Diceros bicornis minor: one gene and its partner. The protein of the gene in region 2 interacts with the protein of the main gene of each other region in a biochemical or structural test. Links are inferred from orthologs where the notes say so. Each region holds a gene or a part of one and is shown on either strand. Other genes may lie near its edges.

Region 1 (6,074 bases), on a different chromosome or scaffold from region 2:
CTCACTCTCTCTAGCTCTTCTTCCCAGCCCTCCATCTTCAACCAGCCTACTCCTAATGGACCATATACTTTATTAAAAATATATAGTTACAAACTCCATTGTCAATCTGGGCTGGGCCCGGGGGCCCGGAGGGACCGCAGGGAGGGACTGGCCCTCATCCTGCCCCTCGGGGTCCCACCTCTGCACTCAAGCCCAACACCATCCAGGGGCCAAGACGGCTGGCTTTGAGGGCCTCAGGGAGCAGCCAGTGGGGCAGGGGGAAGGGCTAGGCTTGCCTGGCCGGGAGGGGGAGGGGGCACAGAGAGGGACCACACCGCCTCGTCCTGCAGGTACCAATGGCAGAAGGTGGATTTGGTGCCTCCATCTCTCTCCATTTATAGATATTTACAAAAGAAAGTCATGAGCAACAGGCCACAGTCATGCAAAAGAAGCGCACCCCCCTCCCTCCCTCCCCCAAACTAACCCCCTGCCCACCCCAGAACACCATGATGCCCACCCCCCCAGCAGTCCAGCCGCCTTCCCCAAGGTTCTGAGAGCAAAAGGGGCACGTCCTTGAAGGGTCAGTGGGGAAAGGGTGGTGGGTCTGGGGTCCCTAAGCTGCCAGTGGGTAGGTGCTGGGGGACCCGGGCTGACAGGGCGGAGAGTATCCGGGCCCTTCCCAGGCCTAGGCTCCGGAGTCAGGAGGAAGGGACTTTGAAGTCCCAGTCTTTGAGGCCCCCACGTCCCTCCAGAAGGTCCATGGAACCAGGGTCAGCTCTGTCCTGAGTGCGGAGGGGGTGTCCTGGTGTCCCACCCCCAGCAGAGGCTCTTGTGGGAAGCAGCGAGGGCAGGGCCTGGAGGTCAGATGGCGGACTCCCTGCGGTAGGAGATGTTGTCCAGCGGGAGGGTGGCCTGCATGCGCTCCAGATCCAGGTGGCTGCCAAACTCCAGCATCCGGATGATGCCCGCCTCCTCCTTGGAGCCCGCCTCCAGGCCCAGGCCCGCGGCCACCGCGGCAGCGGCCGCTGCCTCCTCCTCCATCTCCTCTTCCTCTTGGCTCATGAGAGCCAGCTCGTTCTCGTAGCAGAAGGCACTGGGCGGGGGCGGCGGGGCGGGCAGGACGGTGATCTTGCTCTCCTGCAGCTCCCGGGCGGAGCAGCAGGGCGTGCCGGCCACCTCGTAGGTCTTATGGAAGCGCGAGTAGTCCACCTTGTAGTGGCTCTTCTCCTCGAAGACCACGGGCTCGAAGCGGTGGCCCCACAGGATCTCGCTGGCCAGGTAGGAGCTGCGGGCCTGGGTGGTCATGGCGGTGGCCTCCACCATGCCCTCGAGGATGACCACGATCTCAAAGTCCTCCGACTCCAGCTCCTCCTTGCCCATGCCGTAGAGCGGGCTGTCCTCATCAATCTCATGGACGATGATGATGGGCGACACCAGGAAGATTCGGTCCAGGCCGATGTCGTAGCCCACGTTGAGGTCCCGCTGGTCCAGCGGCAGATACTCGCCCTCCTGGGTCATGTAGGGCTTGATGAGCTGGGCCCGCACGTGGGCCTCCACGATGTGGCTCTTGCGCAGGTTGCCCACGCGCCACATCAGGCAGAGCTTGCCGTCGCGCACCGAGATGACCGCGTGGTGGCTGAACAGCAGCGTCTGCGCCCGCTTCTTGGGGCGAGCCATCTTGGCCATGATGGTGCCGATCATGAAGGAGTCGATGACGCAGCCCACGATGGACTGGACCACCACGGCGATGACCGCCAGCGGGCACTCCTCCGTCACGCACCGGAACCCGTAGCCGATGGTCGTCTGCGTCTCCACCGAGAACAGGAAGGCGCCCAGGAAGCCGTTCACGTGCATGATGCAGGGTTTGGGGGCCACCGGAGCCGCCCCGCCGCTGCCCGCAGGCGCCCCCGCCGCAGCCACCGCTGGGCCGGCCTCCAGGTCACCGTGGAAGAAGGCGATGCACCAGAAGAGCAGGCCGAAAAAGAGCCAGGAGACGAGGAAGGCCGCGGAGAAGATCATGAGCATGTAGCGCCAGCGCGTGTCCACGCAGGTGGTGAAGATGTCCGCCATGTAGCGCTGCGACTTGTTGCTCAGGTTGGCGAAGTACACGTTGCATTGGCCGTTCTTCTTGACGAAGCGGTTGCGGCGCTTCCGCCGAGGCACGTGCGCCTGCCCGTTGCGGCTGTGCGCGTGCATGTCCTGAAGCCGGCGTGCTCACCTGGGAAGACGCGGGGCCTGGGGAGGAGAAACCAGACGGGTGAGATGCTGGCGGCGAGCGGCTGCAGCGGCGGCCTCTCCGAGGGCCCCGGGGCGCCCAGGCTCGGGGGCGGCAAGGCGCCTGTCCAGAGACGCCCAGGAAGGGGAGAGTCGGGACTAGAACCCAAGACTTGCACCGCCCGGTGGGCAGAAGGGGACAGTTAGGTGGTTCTGACGACAGGGAGGGAGTGTCGGGCCTGAGCCAGTGCCTCCGAGGCTGGCCCGGCTCCAGAAGCTGAGGCCACCAGGATCCAGGTCCCAGTCCCAGCCCCTCACTCCGCCCCCTCAACCCTCCTTCGCCCCTGTTCCCGGAGCTTCCTGATGCCCATCTGGGCTCTGCCCTCCCACCATTTGTCCCCTTTGCCTGGAGCAGAGGGAGCTCTGGCCCCCTCACCTCCTTGGGTTCAGCCTCTGCCCTCTTGGGTCCCTCGGGGGCTGGACATTCTCCTGTGCTGTCCAGTACAGCAGCCACTGGCCACCTGTGGCTCTTACATGTACTTAGAATTAAATAAAATTCTGACTTCGGTTCCCAGTTGCACTAGCCACATTTCACGTGCTCAGTGGCCACATGTGGCTAATGGCTACCATACTAGACAGAGCAGACATTTCCCTCAGGGCAGAAAGTTCGACTGGACAGTGCTGGGGCCCACAGCCCCTTCTTGGTTCCTGTCCTGTCCCCAAACTTGTTGGGAGGAGTGGTGGGTGGAGACTCCACTGGTGGTGGTCCCAGTGGAGGAAGAGGGAGCCCCGAGCTTTGGCTCCTGTGTAGGTATCGGTGTTCCCATGTCACAGGTGAGGGAACAGGGGCTCAGAGAGAGGAAGTGACCTACCCAAGCCCACACAGCTGGTAAGTGGGTCCAAACCCAGGTGTGTCTAGCTCTTCAGGCCCTGGGTGGTGGCAACATCGATGAGCTCACGGTGTGCAGACCCGAAGAGGGGGAGGCAGACACATCTGCTGCCTAGCTGTGTCACCTCGGACGACTCACTTCACCTCTCTGAGCCTCAGTTTCCTCATCTGTAAAGTAAGAATCAAAACTCCACCACAAGACCCAGGGAGAGAGCGGGTGCTCAGTTTAAGCCAGTCGCCCTCCTGCCTTCCTTGCCGCTTCCCGGGTGTGGGGGGGTGGGGGGAGAAGCTGGTGAGAGGCAGGATTCGCCTGTCAGCGTCCCCAGCTGTTCCAGTGGAGGCAGCCCCTCACCCCGCCGGGTGGCAGGCGCAGCAGCTGGGCCCTTGGAAGGCAGACCCTCCCTCCACCCTCTTTCCCACTGGGGCCCCAGGAGAGAGATGGTGCTGCCCAGGGCCCCAGCAGCTGGCAGGGCCAGGCCCGGGCCTGGGTTCCCGGTAACATTTTGGCCCAGAATTATATAAGGCTGGAAGTTTCTATTTTCTGTCCTATTCTTCTTCCTGATCTAATTGTGCATCTGTGGCAATGTTTATACACTTCCCCGGTTCAGGACAACTCGGTTGCCCCGGCAACCAGTGCGCGCCAACGCTGTAATTTAGAGATCAACAGCTTCAGAGCCTGCCTCTGCCAGGGAGAAACTCCCTCTCTGCGCCCAGGGAGAGTGAGCCCTGCCCTCCTCCCCCACAGTCACCCCACCCCGACTCTGGGTTCTTCTCCCTTCCCCCCTCAAAAGGAGCTCCCTGGGTCCCACAGTCCTGAATTGAAGTCCCAGATCCACCACATAACTTGGGCAAGTTACTTGACTGCTCTGAACCTCAGTTTCCTCATCTGGAAAATGGGACCAGTGAGACCCATCAGTCTGAACAGGTAATGTGGATGTGCATACTGGCCCCCAAGAGGTTACAACTTTAGCTGGGAGTCCCAGACCCTGTCTGCCCCCTACCCAGAGTCCTGATAGCCAGGGCTCCAGGTGGCAGCCCTAGGGGACTGGGGGCCAGGTGCACCTTCTAGACTATAAATAGTTTTCAGGGGGTCTTCCTTCGCCACACATCTCCGACTCGACTCTGTCCTGCTGTCTTGAATGCCTCCATTAGCACCACAGAAGGAACTAGAGCCAGGAGGAACGGAAGATCACTGATTTCAAGACCCTCATTTTACATCTGAGGCCGAGGAAGCCCAGAGCTGGGACGGACTTGCTAAGGGTCCCAGAGCGAGACAGGGTGGGCCAGCCCTGAGCCCGTCTCCTCACTCCCACTCCTGGAAGAAGGTCAAGGTGCTCCTGGGCAGAGGAGCTGCCTCCCTGGAGGGGGCTGGGGTGGAGTTTGGGGCTAGGGAAGAGAGGGCCCCAGCCCGGCCCCGGGAGGCCCTGGGCCCACCTGCCACAGGTGTCCGGGAGACAGGCAGGGGGGACAAGGTGTGGTGACCTGGGGCTTTGATGGGTGAGGACACTGAGGCCCAGGGAGGGTGAGGGCCCCGCCCAAGGCCACACAGGAGCCCAGGGTGCGGGGCCCCTGGTCCTCTGCCACAGGGAAGGGCTCTGGTCTGGGGGCTTCATCTTGTGCTGCAGGAGAGGGCTCTTCATGGGGCTCCACCCTCTAGCAGGGCCCTGGGTGCGAGGAGGGAGGGAGACCACCCCCCACGGCTCTAAGCTCTTGGTCCTCCCCTCGCCAGCATGGCCCAGTGTTTCCCATTCATGAGTGGAAGTGACTGGAATCTCAGCCACGCTCATGCCCCAGGGTCGGCCCGGAGGCTCCGCATGTCCCCACCCCGACACTCCCTCCGCCCCCACACCCCCTCCGCCCCCACACCCCCAACTTCAGTTCTCACCCCCTGCCCCTGCCCTGCCATCCCCGGGTCCCCCGACCCCCAGCAGCCCCCGCATCGTAGCCCGGTGGCGGCACAGCTTATCCTGTGTCTTATCCAGCTTCGCCTGTGTCAGCTCAGGTGACACTTGAAATGTCCACCCCTGGGCCGTTGGGAAAGCAGCCCCCAGGCACAGGTGCGCCCCTAGACTGCCATCCTCCACCACGAGGAGCCCATGTGCACTGGGCTGGTGAGCGCCCGGCCCTCGTCCGCAGTGACCTGCTCACATCAGGGAGCACTCCCGTCACCACGGGCTCCTTTGGCGGAAGTGAGAGGCTCGCCTGCCACCTGCACGATCCCAGACCAAAAAGTGAAACGTAGGAAGCATGGCGTTGTGCTTTCCTGTGACAACCACTGGGAGACTGGTCAGGGTGTCTTCCCTTATTTGTCACTTGGGGCTTCCTGCCCAAGGCACAAGGGCCCGAGGGAAAAGCGCAAAAGAGAAGGGGCACGGAGATGGAAGAGGGGCGAGAGGCACTGACAACTGGGTACCATCCTCCTCTGGATGTGGTTGTTTTATTAAGAGAGAGAGAGTGAACCCTGGTTGTTTAGGCGCCTGCGCCATGTCTACAGTTAAACCACCCTTTTATGGAAGGCAGGGGGCTGGTCTAACCCTCTTGCACCGAATGCGCCCTGTGAACACACAGGGAAGAACGTGGTTTCAGCACATTCCCTACGGGGGAGGCTCTGGGAGGCCGGGCCCCTCGCTCTGCCTTGCTGGGTGACCTCGGCCAAGTCCTTCCCCTTCCCGTCCGGGGTTCTTCCTCCAGTCTCTGTCCTTTGTTCTTTTTTTTTTTTTTTATGAGGAAGATCAGCCCTGAGCTAACATCCATGCTAATCCTCCTCTTTTTTGCTGAGGAAGACTGGCTCTGAGCTAACATCTATTGCCAATGCTCCTCCTTTTTTTTTTCCCCCAAAGCCCCAGTAGATAGTTGTGTGTCATAGTTGCACATCCTTCTAGTTGCTGTATGCGGGACGTGGCCTCAGCATGGCCGGAGAAGCGGTGCGTCAGTGCGCGCCTGGGATCCGAACCTGGGCTGCCAGTAGCGGAGCGCGTGCACTTAACCGCTA
Region 2 (7,089 bases):
TGTCTCACATACAGCAACTAGAAGTATGTGCAGCTATGATATACAACTATCTACTGGGGCTTTGGGGGGGGAAATAAATAAATAAATAAAATTATTAAAAAAAAAGATAGAATTCAGCTATTCCTATGGCCCCAAAGGATCTCCTGAGCAATCAGAAAGTTTTACAATCCAGAATCCAGGCTGGAAACCAAAGCCTCAAAGTCTGGAGATTTCAAAAGCCTGTCTGAATTGCACCTCTGATGCAAAAAAAGCTAATACATTTTACTGAATTGCTTTACCGCTAAACTCTCGAATGTCCTTTGAAAATAAGAAATAGTAATAACGGTTCACATTAGTTCCATGTACCAAGTGCCAAGCAGTGTGTTAAATGCTTCCTATGCTGTCTCATTGCATCTTCACAACAACCAATCACACAGGCACGCTCAGTTTCCTATCAGAAACACTGAGGTGTGGAGAGAAGCCCCTTGCCCAAGGTCACCCAGCTAGTTAGTGGCAAAGCCAGTATTTGAACCTAGGTCTCCAGGCTCCAGAACCAACACTCTTAACCCTATGGCAGACTGCAAGTCAAACCCTCAGATATTACACTACTGGTCCATCCCCAGAATACTAAAGATGAGGAACTAGTGGCCCAGAGAGGGGAGGTCATTATTCCGAGATCACACAACAAATTGGTGGCAGAGGTGGACTGGAACGCTTCTCCTGACCCCCACACAGGCCCAAAGGTTTGTTCATTGCACTGCACAGAGCTGGAGGCCTAGGAAAGGAAGGGGCTTCTATTTATATCTGCCCTCATCCCCCTGAAGCTAGGGACTTCAGTTCGGTTTCAAGCTATGATCATTCCTGGCTGCCTTGGGCTAAGCTAGACCCTATAGGGGAGGTCACCATGGCAACAGGAGCCCAGTCTCCAACCACCAAGAACTGAATGGAGCTGGTACTTGCCCTGATGCCTCCTAAAAGAACCTTTACACACACACACACACACACACCCGGAAATATGGAGCTGGGAAGTAACTTTATGTGACCTTGGAAAGTCCCTGCTCATCTCCAAGTCTCAGTTTGTCCAACTGCAAAATGGAACTCTATATGAACTCTAAGTTCCTTCTTGCTTTGACACACTGAGTGTACAATTTCTGGATTGATCTGTTGCCCTATCGCATGTGGGAGTTTGGAGGCAAGACTGGTGCTCACTCCCTGGCTTCCCTATTTTCCCCTTTTCGATGCTTTGGTTGGGTTCCAGAGGGCAGAACCAACTCCCCTGGGCACTCTATAGTGTCCTGATAATTGACGTTCGAATCCCTGCCACTCGGTGACTGTATGATCCTGGTTAAAATCATTTTACTTCTCTGAGTCTCAGTTTCTTAACGCGCAAAATGGGGATTACGCTCCCTACCTTCCACCACTTGTTGCCAGGATGAAGTGGATCGTGAGCCTAGAGTTCTGGGCACAGCAGTCAGCACACAGTGGTAGCCGAGTCACCACCATCCCCAGCCCCTCACCCAAGCCAAAGGGTCTGGAGGCACTAGTGAACAAGAGCCAGCACCAGGGAGGGGGAACAGTGCATATCCAGGGTGACACAAGGGCTAACACCCTTTCCCAAGGCAGGTAGTACCCTGCTGGGAGCTGAGACCCTGAGAAGCAGATGGGTAGGAACGGTGAAACCAACAGCTGGTGGTGTGCAGGGATTTCAAGCGCTATGGTTAGTTGCTTTGGGAGTCTCTCCTGACCTCCATTTTTTCTCTCATCTAACAGCAATAATTAACCAGGCACCTACTATGTGCAGCAGGGTGAGTACTTTAGATCCCTGTTTTCACAGAAACATCACAACTCTCTCATTATCCTCATTATATAGTTGAAGAAACTGAGGTTTAGAGATGGGAGGTGACTTGTCCAAGTTCACATAGCTGATCCCCGACTCAAACAAATCTGGTTGCACCCTAAGGAAAGCTGTCAGTATTGGGGGCTGGCAGTTCTCAGAGAGGAGGAGGGCTCTATGTCCACGCCTCTCAATCCCGTGCAAGGTAGAGATGGTCAGGTCAGGAAACTGAAACCCAGTTGTTAGGACTCTCCGCCTAGGTACACAGCCTTCTGGACCCTGTCTGTGAGCCCAGCCGGTGCTTCCACCTACGTCTCTGATTCCCTGCCCCATCCCCTGCCCCGCTGTGCTCCCGACTTCAGGCCTCACCCCCGCGCCCCGCTACCTCGGTTACGCCTCAGGGACTTCCCCTCCCTGCCCTAGCAGCGACCCAGGCCTCAATTCTCTTTCTGCATCCTTTGCTCTCCCGGGGCCCCTCTTGTCCTTGATGCCCACGCAACCCCTGAGAGGCAACCCCTCTGAGATCTCTACGCCTCCACACAAAACTCCCCAACCACGTGTCCTTGGTGCGCCCCCAATCCCTTCCACACCTGTGCCTTCCGACTGAGACCTCTGACTCCCCAAACCCCCTCCGACCTTGGTGCTCCCCACGCTCTCGGTTCCCTCTGTCCGCTCAGACCCCTTGCCCCAGACAGAAGTCCTCCAACTCCATGTCCTCGGCACGCTGCCAGCCCCCGCGGCCCCTGCGCCCTCGGCGGCCCCAGAGACACCACGGCCCCTCGCCCTCGGTGCCCCCGCGCCCACCTTTGATGCTGATGCCCAGCCCGCCGGCGTCGGCCTTGCGCACCGTCACGCGGCGCCGCTGGAGCAGCAGCGCCTCGGGCGGCTGCGGGGGCGCCGCACTCGGCTCGGCGGCGCCGTTGAGCTGCGCGGGCTCCGATTCCCGCGGGGCGCCGGGCTCCGGGCCGGGCTCGCCGACGGCGGGGCTCACGGTCAGCGCGTCCTCCGCCAGACTGAGCAGCACCCGCTGCCACCGCTCGCCGCCGGCCCCCGAGCCCGCCCCGGCGCGCAGTTCCAGCAGCCCGGTGCGCGGGGCGCGCCTGCCTGACGCCATCTTCGCCTCCGAGCCCCCAAGCCTCCTGCCCGGCCCGCTCCGACCGAGCGCCCAGGGCAGAGGGCAGCGGCGGCCCGGCTGGGCCAGCCGCCACCCTACCCCCGGCCGCTGGGGGTGGAGCCTCGAGGGGCGGGGCTGTCTGGGGGTGTGGCTAACCGCGAGGGCGTGGCCGCAAGCAAGCTGGCGGGAGGCTGGGGCGGGGCCCAGGAGCCGAAGGATGCCCTGTGAGACTGCTTGGGGGGTGGGGTCGTAAGGCGCCGGGGCGGGGCCACGAAGCAAGGAGACGAGCAGGTGAGGTGCTGGAGCTGAGCCCGGCCATGCAGGGGGCGGGGCTTCGTGCCGGGGGCGGAGCCCTAGGATCCTGTGGAGGAGACTCCGCGCTGGGCCTGGCCGTCGAGTGCTGGGACCGCAGCTCACGGACGTGGGAACCAAAGAAAAAGAGACGTGGATCCGAGTGCGAGGCTTTGGGCGTCGGAGCGAGGCTACATATGGAGGAGCGCTGGACTCCAGGGACAGGGCTTGAGTTTAAGAGGTGGACCCCGGTCTGCGAGGGACTTAGCCGGAAGGGTTGCTAATGAAGAGCTTTGGAAGGAGCTGGTTTCCCACTGTGGGGCTGGAGCTTTGGTCTGTAGGCTTGGCTTAGTGTGGGGCGTGGCTTCTAAAGCTGACATGCCCCGCCCGCAGGGATGAGCGTGCTGCTGGCTCAGGGCTTGGAGAAGGGGTGGACAACGTCCCCACTTTAAAGAGAGTTTAGGAGATTAACCCCCTGTTTTGTTCACAGCCGAATACAGAAAAGCCTGAAGTCCCACATTGAGAGACCTGGCCTGAGAAGAATCCAGAACTCCTGGTGTGAGGGAAGAGGGCTGGAAGTTGGGTTTCTGGGTCCAGGAGTCTGGAGACCTGGTTTAGGGTCCCTGCTCAGACACTGTTAGCTTCATGTCGACGGTGGTCCCATCACTTCACTTGTCTAAGCCTCAATTTCGTCATCTGTGAAATGGGGGTCATAATAATCCCTACCTCACAGGGCTTGTGTCAGGGTTAAATCAATGTGAAAACACATTGTCAACTGTAAATTCCTAGGCAATCAGTATAATCACTTTCATTTACTGAATGCTTACTATTGGCCCATATCTGAGCATTTTTGATGTGTTATCTCATCTTTACAGTAGACTCATGCAGTAGCTACAGTTAAGAATACCCCCATTATACAGAAGGGAGAACTTGGATTGAGAAGGTCTAATTGCGTGGTCACACATTTGTGAGTGGAGCAGAGCAGGGATTCAAACCCAGGCCTGTTTGACACCAGTGCCTGGGCACTGACCCACTCTGCTAGACAGCTGCAAAGTACAGAAGTGAGGCGTAATTGTTATCAGAAAAATCCCAGCACACTGCACACCTCAACCCGCCCTCATATCTGCCCCTTGTCTCCATCCCCCCACTCCTACCTGGGATGTGTTGGGCAAAAATTGTTAGGGCCACATCAATGTGTAGACTCCCTGCACCTTCAGGTAGAAGCCTCCACATAAGATACCATCAAGATGGCCAACAGGCACATGAAAAGGTGTTCAACATCACTAATTTGGGAAATGCAAGTCAAAACCACAATGAGATATCACCTCACACCCGTCAGAATGGCTATTATTAAAAAGACAAGAAATAACAAGCGTTGGAGAGGATGTGGAGAAAAGGGAACCCTCGTACATTGTTGGTGGGAATGTAAATTGCTGCAGCCACTATGGAAAACAGTAGGGAAATTCCTCAAAAAATTAAAAATAAAACTACCATAGGGTCTAGCAATGCCACTTCTGCGTATTTATCCAAAGAAGAGGAAAATACTAATTCAAAAAGATATATGCACCCCTATGTTCATTGCAGCATTATTCACAATAGCCAAGACTTGGAAACAACCTAAGTGTCCATCCATGGATGAATGGATAAAGAAGATGTGGTATATATATACAATGAAATACTACTCAGCTTTAAAAAAAGATGAAATCTGGGGCCGGCCCCGTGGCTTAGGGGTTAAGTGCGCGCACTCTGCTGCTGGCCGCCCAAGTTCAGATCCCGGGCGCGCACCAACGCACTGCTTGTCCAGCCATGCTGAGGCAGCATCCCACATACAGCAAGTAGAAGGACGTGCAACTATGACATGCAACTATCTACTGGGGCTTTGGGGAGAAAAAGGGAAAAAAAAAAAAAGGAGGAGGATTGGCAATAGATGTTAGCTCAGGGCTGGTCTTCCTCAGCAAAAAGAGGAGGATTGGCATGGATGTTAGTTCAGGGCTAACCTTCCTCACACACACACACACAAAAAGATGAAATCTTGCCATTCATGACAACATGGATGGACCTTGAAGGTATTATGCTAAGTGAAATAAGTCAGATGGAGAAGGACAAATACTGTATGATTTCACTCATATGTGGAAGATAAACACATAGATACAAGAACAGATTGTCAGTCACCAGAGGGGAAGGGGGTAAGGAGAGGGCAAAAGGGGTAAAGGGGCACATGTGTACAGTGACAGATGGCAACTAGACTTTTGGTGGAGAACATGATATAGTCTATACAGAAGTTGAAATATAATGATGTACACCTGAAATTAATATGTTATAAACAAATGTTACCTTAATAAAAAAAACAAGATACCATCAAGAAAAAAAAACACAAGAAAACAGGTACGTATACAAATTGTCCACAGCAAACTTATGTTTGCAAATAACCAGAGATGAACCCAAGTGTCCAACCACAGGGGAATGGCTCTATACCACCAAAATCCGCTGAGGCCATGTACATAATACATGTATGTATTATACGCACAAGTACATAAAATATATAGATGCCATTTATTCAGTTTGTTATACATTGGCACATGAGCTGGCTGATTTTGTACATTGTCATTTAAACTTCACATAAATCCTGCACAGCCTGCATATTATCCCCTTTTTATAGATGAGAAAATTGAGGCACACCACTAGTAAGAACAGACCTCTAGGGGCCAGCCCCGTGGCTTAGTGGTTAAGTGCGCGCGCTCCGCTACTGGCGGCCCGGGTTCGGATCCCGGGTGCGCACCGAGGCACCGCTTCTCTGGCCATGCTGAGGCCGCGTCCCACATACAGCAACTAGAAGGATGTGCAACTATGACATACAACTATCTACTGGGGCTTTGGGGGAAAAAAAAGGAGGAGGATTGGCAATAGATGTTAGCTCAGAGCCAGTCTTCCTCAGCAAAAAAAGAGGAGGATTAGCATGGATGTTAGCTCAGGGCTGATCTTCCTCACAAAAAAAAAAAAGAACAGACCTCCATTCTAATTTGGGTCTGTCTGGCTTCCAAGCCCATATCCCTCCTACTCCACCTTTCTGCAGGCCACATAGCAGCAAGGGATGCGTTTACAATCCATTCATTCATTCAACAATATTTATTGAACATCCACTATGTGCCAGACACAGTACTAGGTGCAGAGATTCAGCTGTAAACGATAGGCTCACTGAACATACCATCCCCTGGGAGGCAGGATCCCATGGTGGTCAAGAGCATGAGCTTTGGATTCTGATTTTCTGTGTTCAAATTCTCACTGTGCCTCTTTTTTTTTTTTTCCCCCTGTGAGGAAGATTGGCCCTGGGCTAACATCCATGCCCATCTTCCTCGACTTTATATGTGGGACGCCTGCCACAGCATGGCTTGATAAGCGGTGTGTGGGTCCACACCTGGGATCCAAACCTGCAAACCCCGGGCCGCTGAAGCAGAGCATGCGAACTTAACCACTATACCACCAGGCCAGCCCCTCGCTGTGCCTCTTTCTATCTTTGTGATCCTGGGTGACTTATTTAACCCTTAAGCTTCAATTTCATAGCCTATAAAATGGGGTATTAAAATCACTATCCCAGAGATTGGATATTGGAATGAATAAAATAATGCTGGTAAACTGCTTAGCATAATTATTGTACATAGAAAGCATTCGAAAAAATATGAGTTGTGGGGCGTCCCACATAAATATGGCGGCATCCCATGTAAAGTAGAGGAAGATGGGCACGGATGTTAGCCCAGGGCCAATCTTCCTCAGCAAAAAGAGGAGGATTGGCAACAGATGTTAGCTCAGGGCTAATTCCTCACAAAAAAAATAAAACACGAATTGTAATTATCCTGGAAAACAGGCATCTATC

What was found.
Region 1: the proteins of SNTA1 (region 2) and KCNJ4 interact in a test that uses a peptide from one of them, tested with the Homo sapiens proteins (2 studies listed by BioGRID and IntAct). The link is inferred for Diceros bicornis minor from reciprocal best matches to the Homo sapiens genes SNTA1 and KCNJ4.

What each region holds. Positions count from the first base shown.
Region 1 is NC_080764.1:11,500,661-11,506,734, reverse strand, and holds KCNJ4 (inward rectifier potassium channel 4), read right to left. Parts: upstream 2,208-6,074; 5' UTR 2,176-2,207; coding exon 841-2,175; 3' UTR 503-840; downstream 1-502. UniProt on the Homo sapiens protein: Inward rectifier potassium channels are characterized by a greater tendency to allow potassium to flow into the cell rather than out of it.
Region 2 is NC_080758.1:26,311,206-26,318,294, reverse strand, and holds the start of SNTA1 (alpha-1-syntrophin), read right to left. Parts: upstream 3,004-7,089; 5' UTR 2,928-3,003; coding exon 2,618-2,927; intron 1-2,617. UniProt on the Homo sapiens protein: Adapter protein that binds to and probably organizes the subcellular localization of a variety of membrane proteins. May link various receptors to the actin cytoskeleton and the extracellular matrix via the dystrophin glycoprotein complex.